Arabidopsis thaliana: one gene and its partners. The protein of the gene in region 1 interacts with the protein of each later gene in a pairwise test. Each region holds a gene or a part of one and is shown on either strand. Other genes may lie near its edges.

Region 1 (4,998 bases):
TCTCCATCTCAAATTCCAAGTACTACTTTTATTTGATGATTCTAATGATCCACCTAAAATATTATTTGTGGATGTTACTATAGTCAGGAGGGCCTACATGGGCAGTGCCAAAAGGGAGAAAAGATGGAAGAATATCAAAGGCAATAGAAACAAGACAACTACCAGCTCCTACTTTCAACATTTCTCAATTGCGTCAAAATTTTGGCCAAAGAGGCCTCTCTATGCATGATCTTGTTGCTCTCTCTGGTATTAAACATTCTCGCACTCACTTAAAATATATTTACAAAGATTTCTAAAATCTTTTTCTTAAACTATGCTAAAAGATGCAACATAAATCTAAATTTTAAAAATAATTGGCAAAAGACAAATATAGTTCCAATGCTTATAATGGTTTAAATTCCGAATGTTGAATGAAATGGCAGGAGGTCATACACTAGGATTCGCCCACTGTTCATCGTTCCAGAATAGGCTCCATAAATTCAACACACAAAAGGAGGTTGACCCAACACTAAACCCCTCATTCGCAGCCAGGTTGGAGGGAGTGTGCCCGGCCCATAACACGGTGAAGAATGCTGGATCGAACATGGATGGAACCGTGACGTCATTCGACAATATCTACTACAAGATGCTTATCCAAGGCAAGTCACTATTCTCATCCGACGAATCGCTTCTTGCAGTACCCTCTACTAAGAAACTCGTGGCCAAATATGCAAATTCCAACGAAGAGTTCGAGAGGGCTTTTGTGAAATCGATGATCAAGATGAGTAGTATCAGTGGGAATGGCAATGAGGTCAGACTTAACTGCAGAAGGGTTCGCTAGAATCTCAATCTACGCTTCCAACATCACGTTACTACTACATTTTTATGTCTTTCGTTTTCTTTCGTCACATTGATTACTTGTGAATGGGCCTTTCTAAAGATTAAGGCAGAGGTTCTTGTATCAGAATTATCTATCAATCTCTCGTGTGTGCTTGTATAGGCATTTATTTACAAGTAATAAGATCTTTTCTCTTTCTAAGAACATGCAGACAAATCTTATCACTTGTGTTCACAACCTATCTAAATGATTGACGAAACAATAGAAGACCAACACTCTCTTTTGAGCAACAACTTCAATATGTTTCGTAGTTAAGTCTTTAATTTGACATACATAACATAACATTAACATCCGACCCACTGTCTTAGCTGGACCATCACGTAGAAGAGAATGGATATATAGTCAAAGAAAGAAGATAAGACAGGGAGACACAAATGGGTCGAGGACATGACAGCAACCTAGGTCTTCATTTTTCTTCATTCAAACGCCCACTGATTCTCACGGCGAACCTCTTCTTCTTCCTCTGGCGTGAAGTCGTTCTTGATATTGAACGTCTTACGGATTTCTTCTGGGGTTTTTCCTTTAATCATATCAGCCACTGTCTGGCAAGTCAAGTCCAACAGTCCCTTGATATTCAAGTAGTTAGCAGCCTAAAAGGTGTCACAGGGAAACCAACTTAGATTCAAGCTCTTCAACTTTCAGATAAAAATGGAACTTTATTGTTCAAGCAAATCAAACATATTGAACTACGATTCCAAAGAAAATAAACTTTATCACTCGTTTCAGACAGAACAAAACATGTCATGTTAGCATCCAAAAGGTTTCTCAGAAAAACAAATCTAGATTCAAGCAAATCCCAAAGAAATTAAACATTATCCAATGTTTAAGACAGAACATAAAAAACATGAGTTTGGATGTAAAGTGGTCTTCAGCTATAAACAAATCCAACAAACTCAAAAGAAATCTCTTGACACTTTTTTCTCTATCAGACCATATATTTCAATCAGACATGATCATAGTTTAAACTGTGAAATTGGCAATCTAAACAAAACCTGAACCCTAAAATTAGATCTCAAACAGAAATCAAGATCTCAAACCCTAGAAATGAAATCGCAAACTTTGAAAACCAAAGCAATTAAAAATAAGTTTGACAAACCAGGATAAGATCGAAGAGAGTGCCCTGATCAACTTTGATAAACTCAGAATCCCAAGTCTTGAGATCTTCATCACTAGAACCCGACGCGACGGTGGTGGTAGTAGTAGCAGCAGCAGCATCGGCCGTGGTTTCGGATTTCTCAGCAGCTTCGACATGTCTCTTACAGTACTCAATCACCTTCGAAAGGATCTTGCTTGTGACATTAGGGAGAGGGATACCATTATCGGTACAGTCATCTTCAATCATATGTTTGATGGTTTGTGACTCTAGCGCCACCGCTTCGTCAATTTCGAAGTTTTCGCCATCCGAACTCTTAAGAGTGATTTTTCTCACCGTCGACATTGGTTTTTGCTGAGTTTAGAGACGACGTGGAGGCTGAGGAAGAGAATCGTGGAACAGAGAGATGTGTGTATGGGTTAAATCAAAATGTTTTTAAAGCCCGGCTCACACATTGAACCAGTGAGATCTAACGATTCCCAATTGACTTTTTTTACCTATAAATTTTCATTTTAAAACATTTTCTCTGTTTTTTTCTTTCAAAGGAAAACACCTGAAAATTAATTCAACTCTTTTCATCAACTTTTGATTAATCAGTAGTTGAACAGATACTAAACTCCTCTATTTGTAGGATGGTGTGTATAATTTAATTGGATTCATGTGATTTGATTTCCGGTAATATTTTTCTTTGAACATCTTTGCAAATAAAGAGTTAAGAATCATAATCAATTGCGGCAGTTGTTTTGCTAATTAAGTTGTATTAAAATCATCCACATTCTAGAAACCAAGTCCACCGTTACGACAAAACTTATTTATTTTTTATTTTATTTTTCTTATTTTTTTTTAATTTTAAATTTCCATTAAAACAAACAACAAGTTATAAGACAAGTGTCCAAACATAAGCACACAGGCTCGAAAACATACACATCCAAAAGCTCAAATCCAAGGCGCGCAGGCCCGACAACAAGAGCAAAGCCCAAAACAACCAAAGAAGCTGAAACTTAAAAATAGCAGGCCCAAAAACCAAAAGAACGAAGAGGGAACGACCCAAGGACTCAAAAAACTCATAAGGAAACCTGAACCGCAGAGGAGGACCTAACTGAAGAGACGGAACCAAGTAGCAAGCAGAGAGGCACCCGGAGGAGGAGAGGGAGAGCAGAGAGGCACTATGACAAAATTTATCTCATGCCTTCCACTGTAAACGTTTTGTTCGTCCATTGGAACTCTACCAAAATTTCGTTACTACATTCCTAAGTTTTGATGTTACTGATTTTGGTAATCTAAAACAAGACAATACATAAGTAAGCAATGCATCTGGTACTGATTTAATCAATACTTCTTTGCCATCTTTAGATAAGAATTTTGTAAACCAACCATTTATTCTATTATGTAAATATTTTCTAAAAGAGTAAATTTTTTTTGTCTTAGATCCTCCTAAACTTTTCGATAATCTCAAGTAGTTGTTCATGTCCCCTATATTAGTGATTTCGAAGATTGCCATAAGTTTGTCCATCATCGAGTTGTCAACTCATGACCAAAAACCTCTTCATAGTTCTTTAGTATTCCAAATCCAATGACGCATTGTTTTTTTTGTCGTTTTACAAAAAAGAAGCTATCATCCACGAACATAAGTGAAATATTGAGGGATTCGCTTGTAAAAATTTCATCCCCGCTAAAATCTTATCTTATTAAATAAAGTGAGAAAAATCTAACTTGCGTTATCTAAATTTTCACCAAAGCATAATCGGCCATTATCCTAGTAAAAAATATGGGCCAATAAAAAATATATTTAGATTCACCCCTTTATTCACCTTTTTATTCCATTAAATTAGAATTTATACCTAATAAATAAATTAAATTTATTTTATTATAAAATCTAATTTGCCACAAGAACAAAATTTTATATAGTTTTGGGTTTATAAGAAAGGATTGAAGTTTAGATTTTACTATTAAATATCGATTTGAGTTATAAACAGTTTTAGATTTTATAACTAAACGAGATTGAACGTCTGTTTGGTTTTATAAATGGATTTAGATTTTATAATTAAACAATGTTAAATATCGGTTTGGGTTTAGAAAGAACGGTTAGAGATTTAGAGTTTGCAATTAAAAGAGTTTAAATATCGAATTGGGTGTACAAAGAAGAACTAGGGTTAGATTTTATAATTAAACGAGATTACATTTTGGTTTGAATTTTTTAAAAAGTGGTTAGAATTTAATTTTTTTTTACTTTTTATTTAGAATTTAGATTTTTTATTTATAATTAAATAAGTTTTTTTAACTTTTTATTAGGTAGTATATTCTGATTGGCTGAAATAAAAAAATTAGGATTTAGATTTTATAATTAGACTAAATTATATATGAGTTTGAGTTTATAAAAAAATGATTATGATTTAAATTTTATAATTAAATGAGTTTAAATTTCTTTTATTAAATAACGAATTCAGATTGGTTAAAAACTTAAGATAAGAGGAAATAAATAAAAAGATTTACCTAATAAGTGAACCCAAATATTGTTCACTAGACCGTAAACATGGATTTTCTCAGCTATGCTGAAGGAGTCAAGACAAGACCAGGTCTGAATAACTGAATACATGGTCAATTTTATAGCAGTCAATTTTTTTTCTCGAAAAAATCAGTTGTTGCAATTTTTTAGTACCGTCGATTATTTTATACATAATCAGCTCTAGAGATTTTATGCATTGATGCTTCTGTAATTATACTTTTTAATTTAATTTCTGTTGTATATTTTGAATGTAGAAAAGATTCTAGAAACGAAAATAAAAACATTTTAGTAATAAATTAATGTAAATAATATAAAAAATACATAATGTAAATTAATATTGTTCTTTATATTAATGTAAATTAATGTAAACCAGTCTAGTAAATATAGCGCCTATTTAATTGAAATTTATTTGTTAGAAAATAAATAACTACTTTAACGCATTATCTTCAAGTGCTATCTTCTTTAACTTTTTAGTGGATTGGACTTCTCCGTCGCCTCTAATTCCTAGAACATGATTGCTAT
Region 2 (4,803 bases), 9.9 Mb from region 1:
TTGGTTGTATCAAAAGTTTTGAACTTTGAAGATGTGGTGATGAAATTTGTGTGTGTGTTTTTTGTAGATCAATGGATTGCCTTTTAACAAGTATACATGGTTGATGACTCATAATGCCTTTAGCAATGCAAATGCACCACTTTTGCCAGGTGTTGAGAGGATTACATTTTACAATCAAGAAGATACTATTACTAATCAGCTACAAGTAATGCTCTTATTACCAACTCTCTTATTATAGTTTCCTCTTTTTTTGGATAAAACTCTTGAATGTATATTTTTGTTCTAGAATGGAGTTAGAGGGCTAATGCTGGATATGTATGACTTCAACAATGATATCTGGCTTTGCCATTCGCTTCGAGGGCAATGTTTCAACTTCACCGCTTTTGTAAGTTTTATCTTCAGCTTAACCTTGCTGGATCGAAAGCTTGAAACCTGATTGGATTGGTAAATGTGAACTTTGTTTTCTTTTTGAATCAGCAACCTGCAATTAACATACTGAGGGAAGTTGAGGCATTTCTGAGTCAAAACCCAACAGAGATTGTTACCATCATAATAGAGGATTATGTGCACAGACCTAAAGGCTTATCAACACTGTTTGCCAACGCTGGTTTGGACAAATACTGGTTCCCTGTTTCGAAAATGCCTAGAAAGGGAGAAGATTGGCCTACTGTGACTGACATGGTGCAAGAGAATCATAGGCTCCTGGTTTTCACTTCTGTTGCTGCCAAAGAAGATGAAGAAGGCGTTGCGTATCAGTGGAGATACATGGTTGAAAATGAATGTGCGTATTACACACAGTTTATATCTTTAATGAAAATTGTCTCTGAGAATAACCTTCTCTTGCCATTTTCTTATGATTGTCTAAAGCTGGGGATCCCGGAGTGAAGCGAGGTTCTTGTCCTAACAGAAAAGAGTCTCAACCTTTAAATTCAAAAAGTTCTTCGCTATTCTTGATGAATTACTTCCCGACATATCCGGTTGAGAAAGACGCTTGCAAGGAGCACTCAGCTCCACTTGCTGAGATGGTTGGGACTTGTCTCAAGTCAGGAGGGAATAGAATGCCAAACTTTCTTGCTGTTAACTTCTACATGGTACTGAATCAATCATATAACTATAATATGACTGTTTTTACGAGATCTAGCTAACAAACCATAATATTGCAGAGAAGTGATGGAGGCGGCGTTTTCGAAATTCTGGATAGAATGAATGGACCGGTACTTTGCGGTTGTGAAACTCTTTCTGCTTGCCAGGTATTAACTTATTAACTCGCGCCAAAGTTACTTATGGGTATGAAATAAGATCTTACAAGCCTAAATTATCTAAAACCGGCACCCGTATTTTGGTTCTTGATGTTGCAGCCAGGAGCAGCTTATGGTTCATGCAAAAATGTTACTGTACAGACAAGAACTCCAAGCATGGATTCAACGGCTGGAAGCAACTCAGGTGGAAGCTACTCAGGTTCAGTTCAGTTCTCAAGATCTTTAGCTTCTGTGGCCCAACTAAACAACATTGTTGTCTTCTGCTTCTCATTGCTTCCGTTGCTGATATTTCTACTATGACACAACCAATCAAACCACGTGGAGAGATTCTTAGGTTAGAGAATCTTGATCACTTCTTTAGAACGAATGAGAGAGCCTAAGTTGACATGAATTGCCTTAGAAAGAGTTTCTGATTTGATTCTTGTATTGTAGACTGCAGAGCTATAGGCAGAAATCTTGTGTATGTGTGTCTTCAGCTTCTGTTGATTGTTATGCAACTTATATATATATATATATAGACACAATTCTACTCCAATAGAAACTTTACTGAATATTTATATATATATGTTGTTGATTGATGAGAGAACACATAAGATATATGCAGATTCAATTGTATGAATTACTATGTACACAACAAACAAGAAATATGATGAGCAACACTAGACAGCATGCAGCAACGGTGGTGGATTCTGAGCATTGAGAAGCAATTCCATGGGTTTGATCTGAAGAGCAGGACTGATGGTAAGTAAAGCAATGAAGCAATCTACAGGAACTCTAGTTCCCCATAAGTTGATGGATTCGAGTTTTCTGCATTTGTTTACAAGAACAAGAAGGCCTCTCTCTGTCACATGACGGCAACACCACATTCCGATTGTCTGCATAAAGGATTCCAATTTCGAAAGCGTGATTCTCATGAATCTAGAGAGAATTATTTGGTTAGATGATTGTTGTTACCTTAAGCTGATGGCAGCGTTCTGCAATTGCGAAAAGAGACTCATCGGTTATAAATGTTCCTCCTATGTTTAGGTGTTGCAGTGAGGAAGTTCTTGAAATCTGTCAAATCAAAATCAAGATTCTCTGAAATGATTAAAACAAAAAAGGAATCTTCAAGATTCCAGTGCACAAAAAACGGTGTTAGATTTTACCAGTTGAACAACACCAGAATCAGTAATGGCGGTCATGCCCCATAAAGAGACAGAGTTTAAATTGGATACACATCTTGCAGAAGCTATTTGGTAAAGACCATTATCAGTTATATGACAACCCCATCTGCTTCGAGATCTTCAAATATGAAAGAAGAAAAAAACAGAGTTTATAGTTCTGTTCTGTTTTTTGACCAAGTCAATATCCTATCTCAAACACCCTAAAGGTAAAGTTGGAAACTTGACCAAAAAATTCAGCAAATCTCCACTATCCCACCAATCTTGTTTACTCTTAATCCGCCATTGAAGGACAAATCAAGTACGATCATAGTACAAGAAACAAACAAAGAGCAAAACAGAGAGAAAGAGAGAGAGATTACATGTCGAGTTCTTTGAGGTTGAAAGCAAGATGAACGAGACGAGAAGTGGAATCATCGTCCATTTTCCAACCAGCAAAGCTCAGAGTTTCTCTTCTCGCCATCGATTGATTTACAGCTTTTCTCCATTTCTTGCAAACACCACTTGCCCTAAAAACCCCAAAATTCACCAAAAACTTCAATCTCACAACAATGATTTATTTAATCAAAAAAAGAGAGGATCAAACTTGTAAGGATCATCAATGAAAACACTTACTGGGCCAAAACGGTGAAAGAAGTAGCCAACGAAAATATATATGCAAGAAGGTCTAATGGTAAACGATCAATCGCTGCTTCTTCATCCATGACTTGTATGATTTTAGAGCTTCTTAAATCAATATTTGTAGAAGATTTTTATGTATTAAGAATTGTTTGTATATATCATTAGTTCTTCATAATTGCAGAGGAAGCAGATGTTGTCTTTTTCATGGTTTAACTGCAGAAGATGTGGTCATAGTTCCGTCATATTTTTTAATCGTTATAACAAAAAATTTGAAATTAATTTATATGATTTAATAAATGTTTTTATTACACGGTCCAAGATTTTGCGTAGAAGAATACCTCTAGGACTCCGTCTTTTTTCTTCTGTACGCCACGTGGCACATGCCACGGCCTACGGTGCGTAATAAAAGATCTTTCTTATTCACTCAAAAATACATTATTTTTTGTGTTGCTTGCTTCACAAAATATTTAAATGTTAGTGAACTAACACATACTTTAATTGTTAAATTTGACATGACGTTATCTGTAATTTTCTTTTCTCATCTTACGTTTGTACTTTTCGTGTTCAATGTGTTTATGCAAGAAGAAGTTATTTTGTCAAATTACTTATAGGTTAATTTATTCATTAAAAGACAAAGAGTAAAGAAGGAAAACTATCTAAATAGATTTCTGTTGACAAAGATTGTTTTCACATCTTCAACTTTATTCAAGACACACACAAAAAAGTACATTTGATTTGGTTGATTTTACTTATACAACACATACATGCTTCAAAAACTCTTCATCAGTCGATAATTTTTCCAAAACACTAGACGATAAACACGTTTGAAACTCGATGTTTCCTTCTTCGATCCCCGGATAAGCAATGAGTTTACCATCGGTGGTATTTCCCGGTCCAGCTCGAACCGCTATTGGTTTACCCCAACCGAAATCGTTTCCATACACATTGAACCGAGGAGAGCTAGCAATTGTTATAGAATTACTAAAAGCCTTAGCATTCAATATACTCGGTTTCTTCACCCAATTCTCAGCAAACTCTCTAAACTCTTCATTCGTTTGTGACCCAACAGTTTTGTTTATTTGCAATGCAGCCCAACCAAGCCCATTGTGAAGCATCTCCGCCACAGTAGTCGTCACCGTCGCGAATCCGACCACGTTACCGAAACACTCTTTCTCAAGCGGAGGGTTTAGTCTTCCTCTCATATCCACCAGTAACTTGCAATGAATCACTTCTTCCGGATTCAGACCACTGTTTCTGATTATCGATCGCCACATATACGCTGAAACCGCTTGAAGCGACGATATTTTCCGATCATCGGAGTCAACCTCGCCGTTAGCTTTCGCTTTAAGCTCAGAGATGTTTCTACTCGTGACTCGAAAAATCTTCTCTTGTAATAACGATGAAGTAACAACAACCCGGTTCGGTGTCTCCGTCTCCGGTAACGGAATTCGAATCGGATACTCAATACCGTCGAGAAACCATCCACGGAGAAGCAAAGGAGGAAACTTTCTCCGATGATCGGCATCAAACCCGTTAAAGCAAATCTCCGACCAAGTATTGAAGAAACTCCAAAACGAAGATCCATCTGCAACAATATGATTATAACCAAACCCTATAAAAACCCCATCTTTCAATTCCGTTACTTGAAACGCAATTAACGACTCCGAGATTCCTTCACAGCTCCTAACACCATTCGCCGGGAAAAAACGATTCAAGAACTCAGGGACATTACTATCAACAGGTTCTAAAACATCACTAACCGA
Region 3 (5,057 bases), on another chromosome or scaffold:
TTATGTATGAACAAAGTTGATCTGGTTGAGAAGAAAAAGGATCTATTAAAGGTTGCTGAGGAGTTCCAAGATCTTCCGGCATATGAAAGGTGGATATATATATACCAGACTCAGTTTAAAAACAATTACCGGGGAAGTCTTCGAATTGATTGAAATGTGCTTTTTCCCTGTTTGGTTTTCTAGATACTTCATGATATCGGGACTTAAGGGATCAGGAGTGAAAGATCTTTCCCAATACTTAATGGATCAGGCTGTTAAAAAACCATGGGAAGAAGATGCATTCACGATGAGTGAAGAAGTCTTGAAGAACATTTCTCTTGAAGTTGTTAGGGAGAGATTACTAGACCATGTCCATCAGGTAATAATACAACCTCTACTAGTATAACATTTTGTATCAGTTTCCGTCTATTCCAAGATGACAAATTACAGGATTGATTGAAACAAATTGTAGGAAATACCATATGGTCTGGAGCACCGTCTAGTGGACTGGAAAGAGCTGCGTGACGGGTCTCTTAGAATTGAACAGCATCTCATCACTCCTAAACTTAGCCAACGCAAGATTCTTGTAGGCAAGGGCGGTTGCAAGATCGGGTAAGAGCATACAAGATCGTTCATAATTCATTCTTTTGACTAATCAATGACTCAAGGATGATCTTATGTTGATGCTAATTTTGCAGGAGGATAGGAATTGAGGCCAATGAAGAACTCAGGAGAATAATGAACCGCAAAGTTCATCTCATTCTCCAGGTTAAGCTCAAGTGAAACCATTCTCCCAAGGGTTATGTTTTTGAGTTTGATGGATTTAGGATTGGATTGTACGCAATTAGAAATCTGTCTGTATATGTTGTTGACATGTTGTCAAAGATTAGACATTTGACATTAGAAATATAAACTTACTACATACAGACAGTAATAAGATAAAAGAAACAGAATTTTGAGAAAACAACAAGCAGTCTTAACGTCAGAAGTGGAAACCACAAGTAGTCTCTTTATCTTAAAGTCTAAAAACTAACAGACTCCAGGAAATGGAAGTGTTAACTGATCAAGAAGACTAACCACCGGTGTAGTAAGCACCGGGTCATAAGCAAAACCCTGCAAGACCTCTCCGTCTGAACCGCCACCTGAGCTACCGCCACCACTGCCGGAGTAAGGACACGGTGGGACCCACAGCCAGCTTTTTCTCACTATATCAAACAGCAACTGCAACGAGGTTCCTCTTAACACAATCATTACAAACTCTTGATTTCCGACACACTCGAATCCTTTTCCACCTTCTTCTGCTGCAAACTGTGTGTAGAGCGGCTGAGGCATCCGTTCGATCTCGACCCATGTGGCGTTATCTTGTTGCAAACTCCAAAGTCGTAGGCTTTTGGGAACGTTCAACTTGCTTTTCTCAACAGCTGCTACAAGAATAAGCCTCCCTTTGCTCTCTAACAAGCTTGGAGATCTGAGAAATCTCCTCATCGGAGCTTGAATCTTGATCCACCGGTTTCCAGTAACTTCATAGGACAAAACGCTAAAAGGGCTATAGTTCATACAGTAAAACTTGCCTTGCACGTAAACCATCTTACCAGATTCCAAGCTACAAAGCCGTGGCAAAGAAGAAGTCATCGCCCAGAGGGAAAAGAATCCGCCGGCGTCGACATGGAAACTCTCCGATGAGAGGTTTTTCACAGCGTAAGGAGATATGAGATCATCTCCAGCGACAGTAACATCAATAGAGGTTGGTGTTACCGAGAGACCTATCGAAGGGAAAAGCCTTGGCCTTGATATTGGTGGCAACTGACTCACGGATCCGACAAGAGGGTTACACAAGAGAATGGTTTTAAGACCAGCTTCTTCGGAGACCCAACTCACTAACCCTCCTGATGATCCTGAAGGATAAAACCCTGAAGGGATATAAGCAAAAGAGAGACGGTACCATCGGATCTCATTAGGATCAAACAAAAAGCCTTCAGCTTTATTGGAATCATCATCGTTTGTTCCTCCTCTCTTGTAAATGTAACTCTTTAGGGTTTTGTGTTTGAAGAAGAGGAAACAGTTGTGTCGGAGAGGAAGTAGTTGTAGATATGTCTCGAGGAAGGTGTTGGAGAAAAGTAGACTGTAGAATCTCTTGCAGACGCAACGTGTCCGGAAAAACGCCGGAGGTGGAAGAAAAGCAATGACGCGGTCAAGAAGAGGAGGTGGTAGCTTGCTCCAAATCCGACCGTCCATCCATTGACCGGAGCTTGAGTCTGTGGTGGTGCTCGTTGTTGTGCTACTGTTGCTGCTACTGGTAAATGTGTAAGAGAAAGGTAAGGTTAAAGATGGGTTATTGATGAACACAGTTGAATCCATTTTAGCTGAAAAATGAAAAGATTTGGTGAAAGTGGATTTAGAGTTTATTTTCTTGTGTTGGGAATATGTGAAGGGCTTTTGAGGAGGGTTTTGGTGAAAGTTATGCAAAACCCATTGTAGGAAAAGAGGCAAAGATCATATGTAAAAGTTTTGAAGAAAGAGACAAAAGTGTTTGGTCTTTCTCTGTGAGCTTCTTGCATGGGTTTTTGATATGTTCTTGACTTCAATAGAGTAAGGTGGCATATACTTATATATAAAGAACATTTGGTATAAAACAAACAAAGGTAATGGATTTATACAAATAGAAAACATATATTATATTGAATAGAAAAAGAAATAGTGTTTCTTTATTGTTAAAAAGGTATAGTAGTAAGTAAGTAGTGACACACCAACCAAAAAAAAAATAACTCAGAAATTTATGTTTATTTTCTATCAACGTAAAAGATTATATATGTTAATGTTTTAGTTGATAGCTTAGCTTACAGACGTTTTTCTATTTGTGTGCTGACAAAAAGAGATTGGAAGTAAAAAATCAGTTGATATATGTTGTTATTTTCTAAACAGAAATAATAAAATACGTCTAAAAAACTAAACCGGTCAAGTGGCCAAGACAAGAGAAATAGGTTTAATTCCAAATAATCTAAATTTCACAAGAAAATTGGATATATATTTTTAATATTAAAGTGTGTTTCGAATATATATAACGGATGTACTTTGTTATCATACGAACCTAGAACATCAACAAGCACAAGTATCCAAAAGCCTTGTTATAACCCCAGTTTGGTGATAATTATTGACTAACAAAATTTTGTTTGTATATGTGTGTGTTTGGGTAAACGTGAAAATGGTGGCAGAGGAAGTGATGGTCTTAAAGTTGAGAGCTTCAGAGTTATCTTGTCAATGCCCAGCATCGAAATTATTAATTTGGAGACTACTCCAATACTTTTCACACTTGATCACATCTTCAAATCTTTTTTCTTTCTTTCTTTTTCCTCTCTAATTTGTAATATACAACTTTTATTACATGCACGCTTCTCAACTTCTATAATGGTCAGTCAAATTGTACTCGTGGAGATCAACCCAAGAAAACTAGAGATTATTAAGATCATTTTTTTACTTATATATTATATCAAGCCAATTAGAATTACTTTATATGTTAATATATATGTGTGTTTTATTCTAAATAAATTAGTTGGTTCTCTAATGTCATAGAAGTGCATTTATTCTAAATAATTTTGTTGGAGGAGACCACATTATCTTATTCGAACTCAACACAAAATTTGACAATATCTACTTTTTTAGTTTCTAATTATTTGATGTTTTGAGTTATTTTTACTTGTTCGACCAAAATTAATGTTTTATAAAAATATTGTTATTATTTTTGCTTGTGACTAATAATAAAAAAAGAAAAATAAAATTACTAAACTAACAAAAAAATAATTTTATAAAAATAGAAAACATATTTTTTATTAATTTCTATCTAAAATCCAAAACATCAAATAAAGAGGAACATAGTGAGTATGGTTTTAAAAGACTCCAACAATAAAACTTCCATCTAGGAAGAAAAACTGATAACATGTATAACACACAAGAATGTTATTTCTAAACATGAGAAATAGATATACACAAAATTTAATATGAATTATGATGCATTTTTGTCATGTGATCCAGTTTGTTCCTAAATTATAGCAGAAATAGCTCTTAGTTTATCCCCTTTTTTTAAAGAGTAAACAAACAAACTATATGTTAGTATGTTACCCTTATTTGATGTTGTTGCAATTTAATGTGAAACAATTCATTATATACACTATATATATATATATAGTGATTATTTTTTCTTATAAATTGTAAACTCTTTCAAACTCTAAAACCTCCAAGTCCAAGATAATGAACTTCTTGTTTAGGGAAAATAAAACTAGCTTTCATACAAATCTCAAATATATCAATTTACATCTAATTTGCAAACAAAAGAATTTTAGACATCACAAAACATTTACAACTCAATTTCTAATTAATTCTTTATCCAGAAAAAAAATTCTTATATTAATCATTGCTAGCTATAATCAAGGTTTAGAAATAAATAAAAGGAGTTTGGATTTTTTGAGATTAGGGTTAGAGAGACATCATGACTGAAAATAAAGAAGAAGAAAGAGTGAAGAGTAGAGTCAGATCAAAAGTCCAATCAGGGTTTCTTATTTAAGGCATTGTTTACCGTGAAAATAATAATACAAGTGAGAATATCTGAAGCTGACAAGTCGCAAAAGGGTAATAATATTCTCTATTTGCAGTAACTCAAGAGGCTTCGCTTTTGTTTGTGTTTTGATGCTAAAGGAAGTCTCTGAAACCAAACAGTGTCTTGTTTTTATCAAATCATCTATCTTCCCATTTCCCAACTAGGTTTTGTTTAACTTTGAATTACGCTTACAAGTCGTACCCATAATAAATAGTCTGATTTAACATTAAAGCATAAACTTTTAATGAAGCATCTCTTTCTAAACTTAATAATAAAACATAATCTGATTTTATTTTGTCGCCCACATTAACTGATTCGAAACTCCATTCATGCCATTATGTAGTTTTATTTACACACATGTGTTAATTGGTACGTAGTAGAGTTATGGATATAAATTTCCGGCCCAAAGTGGAAATTGATATTGTAATTTGTAAGAAGAACTAGTTTACGGCCAGCGTTATGCGCGGACAAATTAGTTAGAATCAAT
Region 4 (7,136 bases), on another chromosome or scaffold:
CCCAAATAAAAAACGTAAACTACAATGGATTTTTTTTAATAAATAGATGGACCCATAATTCAATATAAATAATTTTGTTGTAGATAGGACTTGAAATTTTACTATTTCGGCTTCTTTTCCTCCACTCTCTAGTGTCAATGATTTTGTACGCTAGCTGGGTTTCACAATTATCCAACTAAAAATGATTTTTAACTTTTGGGCTTTTACATATTAACACGGCCTTATGATAAGGCCCAATACGTTACCTTTCAAATCCAGTTATTATCATCCCGAATAAATATGTACTTTAGAGTTTGAGCCCAACACAATTTTAGACAACAAACAAAAAAGAAATAAGTTGATGTTGAATATATATATATGAGTACGAAGATGAACTTGAAAATTGAAATCATCAGTTGTTTGAGGGCTTTATTAAGTTACCATGATAATTAACAAAAAGTCAGTTTATAAAAAAAAAAAAAAAAAAGTCATTCATCGATGGTAAAGTTCCTTCTTCTTATAGTCAAGATCTTTAATGAAGAATTGTGCATGGACCAACTCGATCACCAGACGTATATAACCTGGTTTGATTGTGAGAGAACCTGGTTTGATTGTGAGATTCCTCATGTGGAGTTCAAAAAATCATCATGATGAAAATTGACAAAATTGTTTAAGGTTATATGTTCCTTAACATTTACGAAATTATGCTTCGTATAGGCATCTCGCTTTAGAGATTCTTTTAAGCACACACACATACTATGTACGTGTCTGTATGTATGTTGATCAAAATTTTAGTAACCAACTTGGTTTTATTATATTCTCTGGCTCTCTGCTGCGTGACATTGAAGCCCTCCTGATCTTAGGTGAATAGGTCTCACTCGCACGCACCACGTTTATTTCTTTCTTTTCGGTATTTAAAAATACTACTAATCATTCAACCTGTTTTTGTATACTAGTGGCTTTGCTTTTGGGTTTTGTTCTGTTCGTGCCAACTTTCATTTAAACTATTTAAACACAGTGCAATGATATATTTAGCTACTTTATCTTTCAATTGGTTTTACTTACATTGTTATCTTTGTAATTTCCTATTCCTTACACTACGGCCGGTATTAGTTGTAAACCTGGCTATATTATATTTTAGAATGATATAGCATACCAGTAAGACAGTAAGTACTTTACATTATCATACATAAAGATTAATCGAACATTTTACAGTGATACCAAAATAATATGAATAGTCAACATTTTCATGGGTCTTGTTTACAAAACTGCAAAAATATCTGCAATTTCCTAAGGATTTTCATTTATATTTCTGTCACTATCTCTTTTTTTGTCAATAACATGCATTACAATGAATTTAAACTCGATGGTGACACAATAACAATACTAGTATATATAAACCATTAAACTGCAAATTATAGTTGAATATCACTAGTTTTTCAAATGAAAATGGCGAATAATAGTAAATGGTATTAATGAATAATTTGAAAATGGTAGTTTAGTGGATAAAGAAGACCCCAAAAACTGCCACTAACCATGATTTTCCTTATATTTTCAATTTTCCATATCATATGAGATTAGGCCTCTATCTTAGTCCGAGGGTTTAAAGGTCAAAGTCAACCTCTTCGATGTGCCTTACCTGCCACGACGTATCGCTTTCCAAAATTTCCGATTCTTACAAATCTACAAAATTTATTCTTTTTGTCGTTTTCTTACAAGAATCGGGAAATAGTTGTTTCTAGCTTGCAAATCTTTCACAGCATTGATTCCTACAAAATAAATAGTACCACTCTTGTATTTTAATAAATTGAACACATCTCTTTCTCCACCTATGCCATACCAATGATCTTTTATTTCTTCTTTTCGTATGTGGTTCTTGGTTTATTAATTATCATAATAATAAACAACAGATACTATAGTCGACATATATATTTGTATATGTTTGTTATCGCATCTATCTATAATTCTCAATGTCACTTCTACCAAAAATCGCGAAGTAGTACATGATCAGGGGTATTATAGGTACTTGACACGCCATGTTAGATGGAGATTTTGTCTTTATGACGAGTGTGTGTGTGTTGCTCAACTAATCTCACATCACGGATTAATCAATCTCAGCCGTTCAAATATATAGAATAAATAGCCTTTTTTTTACCTTATCCATTTATCCATATCTATTTGTTGTTCTCACGTAATCAATCTTCCCATTTTTTTACTAAATAATTAATAATAGGTGAAATATATATATATTTTGGTTATGAAAGTTGACAAATAATTAAGAAGTTTGAAGAAATCGACCAAAGCCAAATGATAGTGGAATTCAAATATAAAGTGAAGTCCAATCAAAGGGATATGATTTTGCTACAAAAGGATAGAAAAGCTTTATGAGTTTGAGACTTGTCGTTTCCGCATAGATTTGCACTAATGAACTTATTGTGGCTGGCAGCCAAACACATCTGTGTGACTTTCGATATTAGTAATAAAGAGTTTAAATAGTTACGTTGGTTTAAGAAAAGTTTACAAATTTGATTTCATCTTTGGGCAGATAGCCATCAATTATTTTATTAATCTACATTTAAAGATTGTTTTAAGAGAAACCAAAGTTGAATAATCTCATCAAAGAACGGTAGGTAAACCCTACCAAATTTAACAACCCTTAAAACCATTTTCTGTATTCACATTCATTTTTTGTTATACTCATCATGGACTTTTTTTTTTTGTTTTGGTAAAAAACATGTACATATTTAGATGCTATCAACAACATGAATGACTTACAAGTTAAGAAACAAATCTCTTTTTTTTTTTGGGATAAAAAGAAACATAAATCTTACCAAGAGATAATCTCTACAAAATTGTTTTTTCAGGATATTTCCAAGAAATGAGAGGAGGTCAACGACTAAAAACAACTTGCTGAATATTTAAAAATCTTTTTCTGCTTAGTGGAGGCATTTATTTTACATTAATTTTTATGTTTTAAAAACATAATGTTATTATATAATTAAATTTCTTGCACAAACAGAGAATATTATTAATATATACTGTGAAGAGTAATAAAACAGTTTCGTTTCATTAAATATTTGATTGAATTATAAAAATAGTGAAAAAATAGAAGATGTGTTCGTGTTCGTGGAGCGGAGGACAACGTAGTTGGTTTCCGCGTGCTGTACGAGACAGATAACTTCTACAGAGAGAAACAAAGATCGAGACAAAAAGAAACCCTTAAAGGATTTGAACGGAGAAGACGAGGAAAAACAAAGACACAACTCTGTAAGTTCTGACCCAATTTTTTTTATGTTTTGTCTGGAAAGTTTCAAGATTTGATTTTTGTGGTTCTCTTTACATTTTCTGGGTTTTGTGTAAGCATTTGATGTGTGGAGTGTCTCTCTTTTTGTTATTCGAATTCATTATCAATCTTTTGTGTGTGTTTCATGTAGATTTGCTCAATTTTTAATCTAGATCTAACCAAATTAATTAACTAAAGATTTAGATAAGAAAAGCCCTAATTTGTGATCTACTATATGATCCAGAATCTGGAGTCTTTGTTTCTACTTGATATATGTAAATCTTGAAAGTTTCCTTTTTTTTTTCTTCTCTTCTTGAAGTAGTAAAGACTTTATCTTTTCTCAATTGAATCCAAGAATGATTAGAGGGTTTATTTATTTTGGGACCAATAAACAGACTTTGTTCTTGGGGGCAGAGACTGTTTCTTTCCCTTTTCTTTTTTTTCACTTCTTTAGAAGATTCTTCATTTGAATTCTGTCCTTCAATTTTGAAGTTGTCTTGTTCTCTTTTTTACTAAATGTGAATCAAAAGAATGTTTTCTTAAGTTTTAAAAAAGCCTGTGGTGGTTACTGCTTTTGGTCCATTGATAAGAAGAATCTTCTTTTCTTCTCTTCTCTTCTCTTCTCTTCTCTTCCGTGTCATTGCTTTGTTATTAAGTATCATTCAGAATTTGAATCAAAACTCTACTTTTGTGTCTTGCAGAACCTTTAGAGAGAGAAAAACAAATGTCGTTCCGTAGCATAGTTCGTGATGTGAGAGATAGTATAGGAAGTCTATCGAGGCGTAGTTTCGACTTTAAGTTAAGCAGCTTGAACAAAGAAGGTGGTAAATCCCGTGGTTCGGTTCAAGATTCTCATGAGGAACAACTTGTAGTAACGATTCAAGAAACACCGTGGGCGAATCTACCTCCAGAGTTATTACGTGATGTGATCAAAAGACTTGAAGAGAGTGAAAGTGTGTGGCCTGCTCGTAGACATGTTGTTGCTTGTGCTTCTGTTTGCAGGTCATGGAGAGATATGTGTAAAGAGATTGTTCAAAGTCCGGAGCTCTCAGGCAAAATCACATTTCCTGTTTCGTTGAAACAGGTTAGATTTCAATTCTTTACTAATGTCATCATCACATATGTTTTGGTTAGTCTTATGATTGGTTATTTCAAGTAATTTCTTCTTCGGTGTTTATAGCCTGGACCAAGAGATGCAACAATGCAATGCTTTATCAAAAGGGATAAATCTAACTTGACTTATCATTTATATCTTTGTCTCAGTCCTGGTAAAACTTCATTTTCTCTGTTTTTGTTCCAAGTTTTTCTCTGTTCTCCAAAGCAAATCTGAAAGCATGAATATTTGCAGCTTTGTTGGTTGAGAATGGAAAGTTTCTTCTTTCTGCAAAACGCATAAGAAGAACTACATACACCGAGTACGTGATCTCTATGCACGCCGACACCATTTCGAGATCAAGCAATACCTACATTGGCAAAATCAGGTAATAGGAAAGACTTTGCCTAGTTATAAGACATTTAGAAAGCGAATGTGCTAATGTTTCCGGCTTAACGCGTGATTATCTCCTCTTTGGCAGGTCTAATTTTCTGGGGACGAAGTTTATAATATACGATACACAACCAGCATACAACAGCAACATCGCTCGAGCGGTCCAACCGGTAGGTCTTAGCCGCAGATTCTACTCAAAGAGAGTCTCTCCCAAAGTACCTAGTGGGAGCTACAAAATTGCGCAGGTTTCTTATGAGCTAAACGTTCTTGGTACCCGTGGTCCGAGGAGAATGCATTGTGCGATGAACTCAATTCCCGCCTCTTCCCTTGCGGAAGGCGGAACTGTGCCTGGACAGCCCGATATCATTGTCCCGCGCTCTATTCTCGACGAATCGTTCCGCAGCATTACCTCTTCGTCATCGAGAAAAATCACTTACGATTACTCGAATGATTTTAGCAGTGCACGGTTTTCCGACATTCTTGGCCCGTTAAGCGAAGACCAAGAAGTGGTATTAGAAGAAGGGAAAGAGCGGAATTCGCCACCACTTGTGCTTAAGAACAAGCCGCCGAGGTGGCATGAACAGCTTCAGTGTTGGTGTTTAAACTTCAGGGGACGTGTAACAGTCGCATCAGTTAAGAACTTTCAGCTCATTGCAGCAAACCAACCACAGCCTCAGCCTCAGCCTCAACCGCAACCTCAACCCCTAACTCAGCCGCAACCGTCTGGTCAGACCGATGGTCCCGACAAGATCATATTGCAGTTTGGGAAAGTGGGAAAAGACATGTTCACGATGGATTTCCGGTATCCGCTCTCTGCGTTTCAGGCTTTCGCTATCTGTTTGAGCAGTTTCGACACAAAACTTGCTTGCGAATAAGTCAAAAACTCAGCTTTGTATGTAATGTTATCAGATTTGCTTTGGAGATTCTTGTTTTGTGGTGTTTTATTTTCACCGAGAATCTCATAATTAGATTTGTTTCAAGCTTTCATTGCTTATGCTGTTTATTGGTGCAACCAAAAAGTTTATTCGAGTTTGGTTTTTCTCCATAGTTTGATTTGTATTCATAACGGTCAAAAACATAAAACGAAAATAACAATAAATCATTAAGAAGCATTGGTTATTGAAATATATGATATATCTCCGATTTTCACATTGATAACAAGTTTGATATTAGAAAAAAAAGGATAATATATAAGAACAAAAAATGGACAAACTGTTTTATGTAAAACATCAAATTATGTTAAGGGCAGGAAAGGAGAGATGAGAGAGCAAATGACAGACACTGAGAAGTGAGCACACTGCTTGCCGACTTGAGGTCAGAGCAGGTTTTAGAAAACGGCAAGCATTCCTTGTTTGGAAAAGCTAGATGGCATATAACCAGCGTTATTTGTTACCACGGTGGTACGTACGGACCGACGCGACTTCCCGTTAGAAGAAACATCGGATGATATGAAACACGCCCTCACGTATGTGAAAGACAGAAATTTCAATGGCTGTCTTCGAGATTTATAGTTACTTTTTCGACATTTTTAATTGTATTAGTTGTAGATTATATTAGTGTCAAACTATTGTATTATATTCATCTAGAATTCTATAGTTTAAAAGACCAATCGTCTGTCAATAAGGTGTGAAGAGTCCATCAAGTAGAGAGATCCATCCCACGTTAGCACATCATTTTAAATTTACGTTCTTTATGAAACATTTTGTTCAAGTTCTTGAATAGTTTCGATAGGTGGTTTAAATAAAAGTAATTAATGCCAAGGAAGTATGCTTGTGTTTATTTCCACGAACAAAAGATATGATTCAGCCCTTTTTTGTTGTTAATATATTTATTTGGTGGTCGAATTCGAACTCACAATGTCATAAAAGTTTAGCCAAACTTGTTAATGAATATTGGTGATCTTGTTTTGGAGGTGTGGACCAATCAAACAACAAATCAACCACTATGTGTGGATTTTTGCGAGGAAAATAAAATGATTGGATAATTAAAATAAGAATTGACCTAACTACGATAGTTATAGTTTAATTAACCAAGTTATGTGACATAATCCATTTCTTAAAGTATAATTTCATCTCATCTTGGTGATCCAAAAGGCAAAAATGTATTTGAAGGGCCATATCGGATAGTCGTCTTTAAAAGGGTCAATGACTCAATGTGGCTCAGTTCTAGTTGCCGCTTTTGATTAGTAAAGATCAGTAAGATTTTAATTTCATTTTCTAAACAGATATCTGATAAGTGATAAGCTAAATCATAAGACTAATTTGGTCTATAAAATTGTACTATTTTCCTTGGTCAGACATGATTCGTTTTCTTTTGGACCTTTTTGAAAACAACATTAAGATTATTTTCTTCTTAACCGATCTTAATCAAGAAAGTGTATTATGAATC

Evidence for each region.
Region 2: the proteins of AT5G42190 (region 1) and AT5G67140 interact in a two-hybrid assay, tested with the Arabidopsis thaliana proteins (2 studies listed by BioGRID).
Region 3: the proteins of AT5G42190 (region 1) and UFO interact in binary tests that used the Arabidopsis thaliana proteins (3 or more experiments, as listed by UniProt).
Region 4: the proteins of AT5G42190 (region 1) and TLP1 interact in a two-hybrid assay, tested with the Arabidopsis thaliana proteins (3 studies listed by BioGRID).

Annotation. Positions count from the first base shown.
Region 1 is NC_003076.8:16,853,202-16,858,199, forward strand, and holds AT5G42190 (E3 ubiquitin ligase SCF complex subunit SKP1/ASK1 family protein), read right to left. Parts: upstream 2,541-4,998; 5' UTR 2,316-2,540; coding exon 1,974-2,315; intron 1,468-1,973; coding exon 1,294-1,467; 3' UTR 990-1,293; downstream 1-989. Other genes in the region: PER64 (Peroxidase superfamily protein), read left to right, coding at 84-246, 423-820.
Region 2 is NC_003076.8:26,792,091-26,796,893, forward strand, and holds AT5G67140 (F-box/RNI-like superfamily protein), read right to left. Parts: upstream 3,280-4,803; 5' UTR 3,124-3,279; coding exon 3,035-3,123; intron 2,929-3,034; coding exon 2,782-2,928; intron 2,541-2,781; coding exon 2,405-2,540; intron 2,313-2,404; coding exon 2,214-2,312; intron 2,135-2,213; coding exon 1,919-2,134; 3' UTR 1,790-1,918; downstream 1-1,789. Other genes in the region: AT5G67130 (PLC-like phosphodiesterases superfamily protein), read left to right, coding at 68-205, 287-385, 478-781, 868-1,091, 1,164-1,250, 1,359-1,559; AT5G67150 (HXXXD-type acyl-transferase family protein), read right to left, coding at 3,790-4,803.
Region 3 is NC_003070.9:11,033,460-11,038,516, reverse strand, and holds UFO (F-box family protein), read right to left. Parts: upstream 2,526-5,057; 5' UTR 2,338-2,525; coding exon 1,009-2,337; downstream 1-1,008. Other genes in the region: AT1G30960 (GTP-binding family protein), read left to right, coding at 1-89, 184-358, 452-591, 678-762. UniProt on the Arabidopsis thaliana protein: Component of SCF(ASK-cullin-F-box) E3 ubiquitin ligase complexes, which may mediate the ubiquitination and subsequent proteasomal degradation of target proteins. Considered as a meristem identity factor required for normal growth of the young floral meristem.
Region 4 is NC_003070.9:28,878,755-28,885,890, forward strand, and holds TLP1 (tubby like protein 1), read left to right. Parts: upstream 1-2,784; 5' UTR 2,785-3,246; exon of another isoform or gene 3,247-3,963; 5' UTR 3,964-3,986; coding exon 3,987-4,346; intron 4,347-4,442; coding exon 4,443-4,530; intron 4,531-4,610; coding exon 4,611-4,743; intron 4,744-4,836; coding exon 4,837-5,623; 3' UTR 5,624-6,269; downstream 6,270-7,136.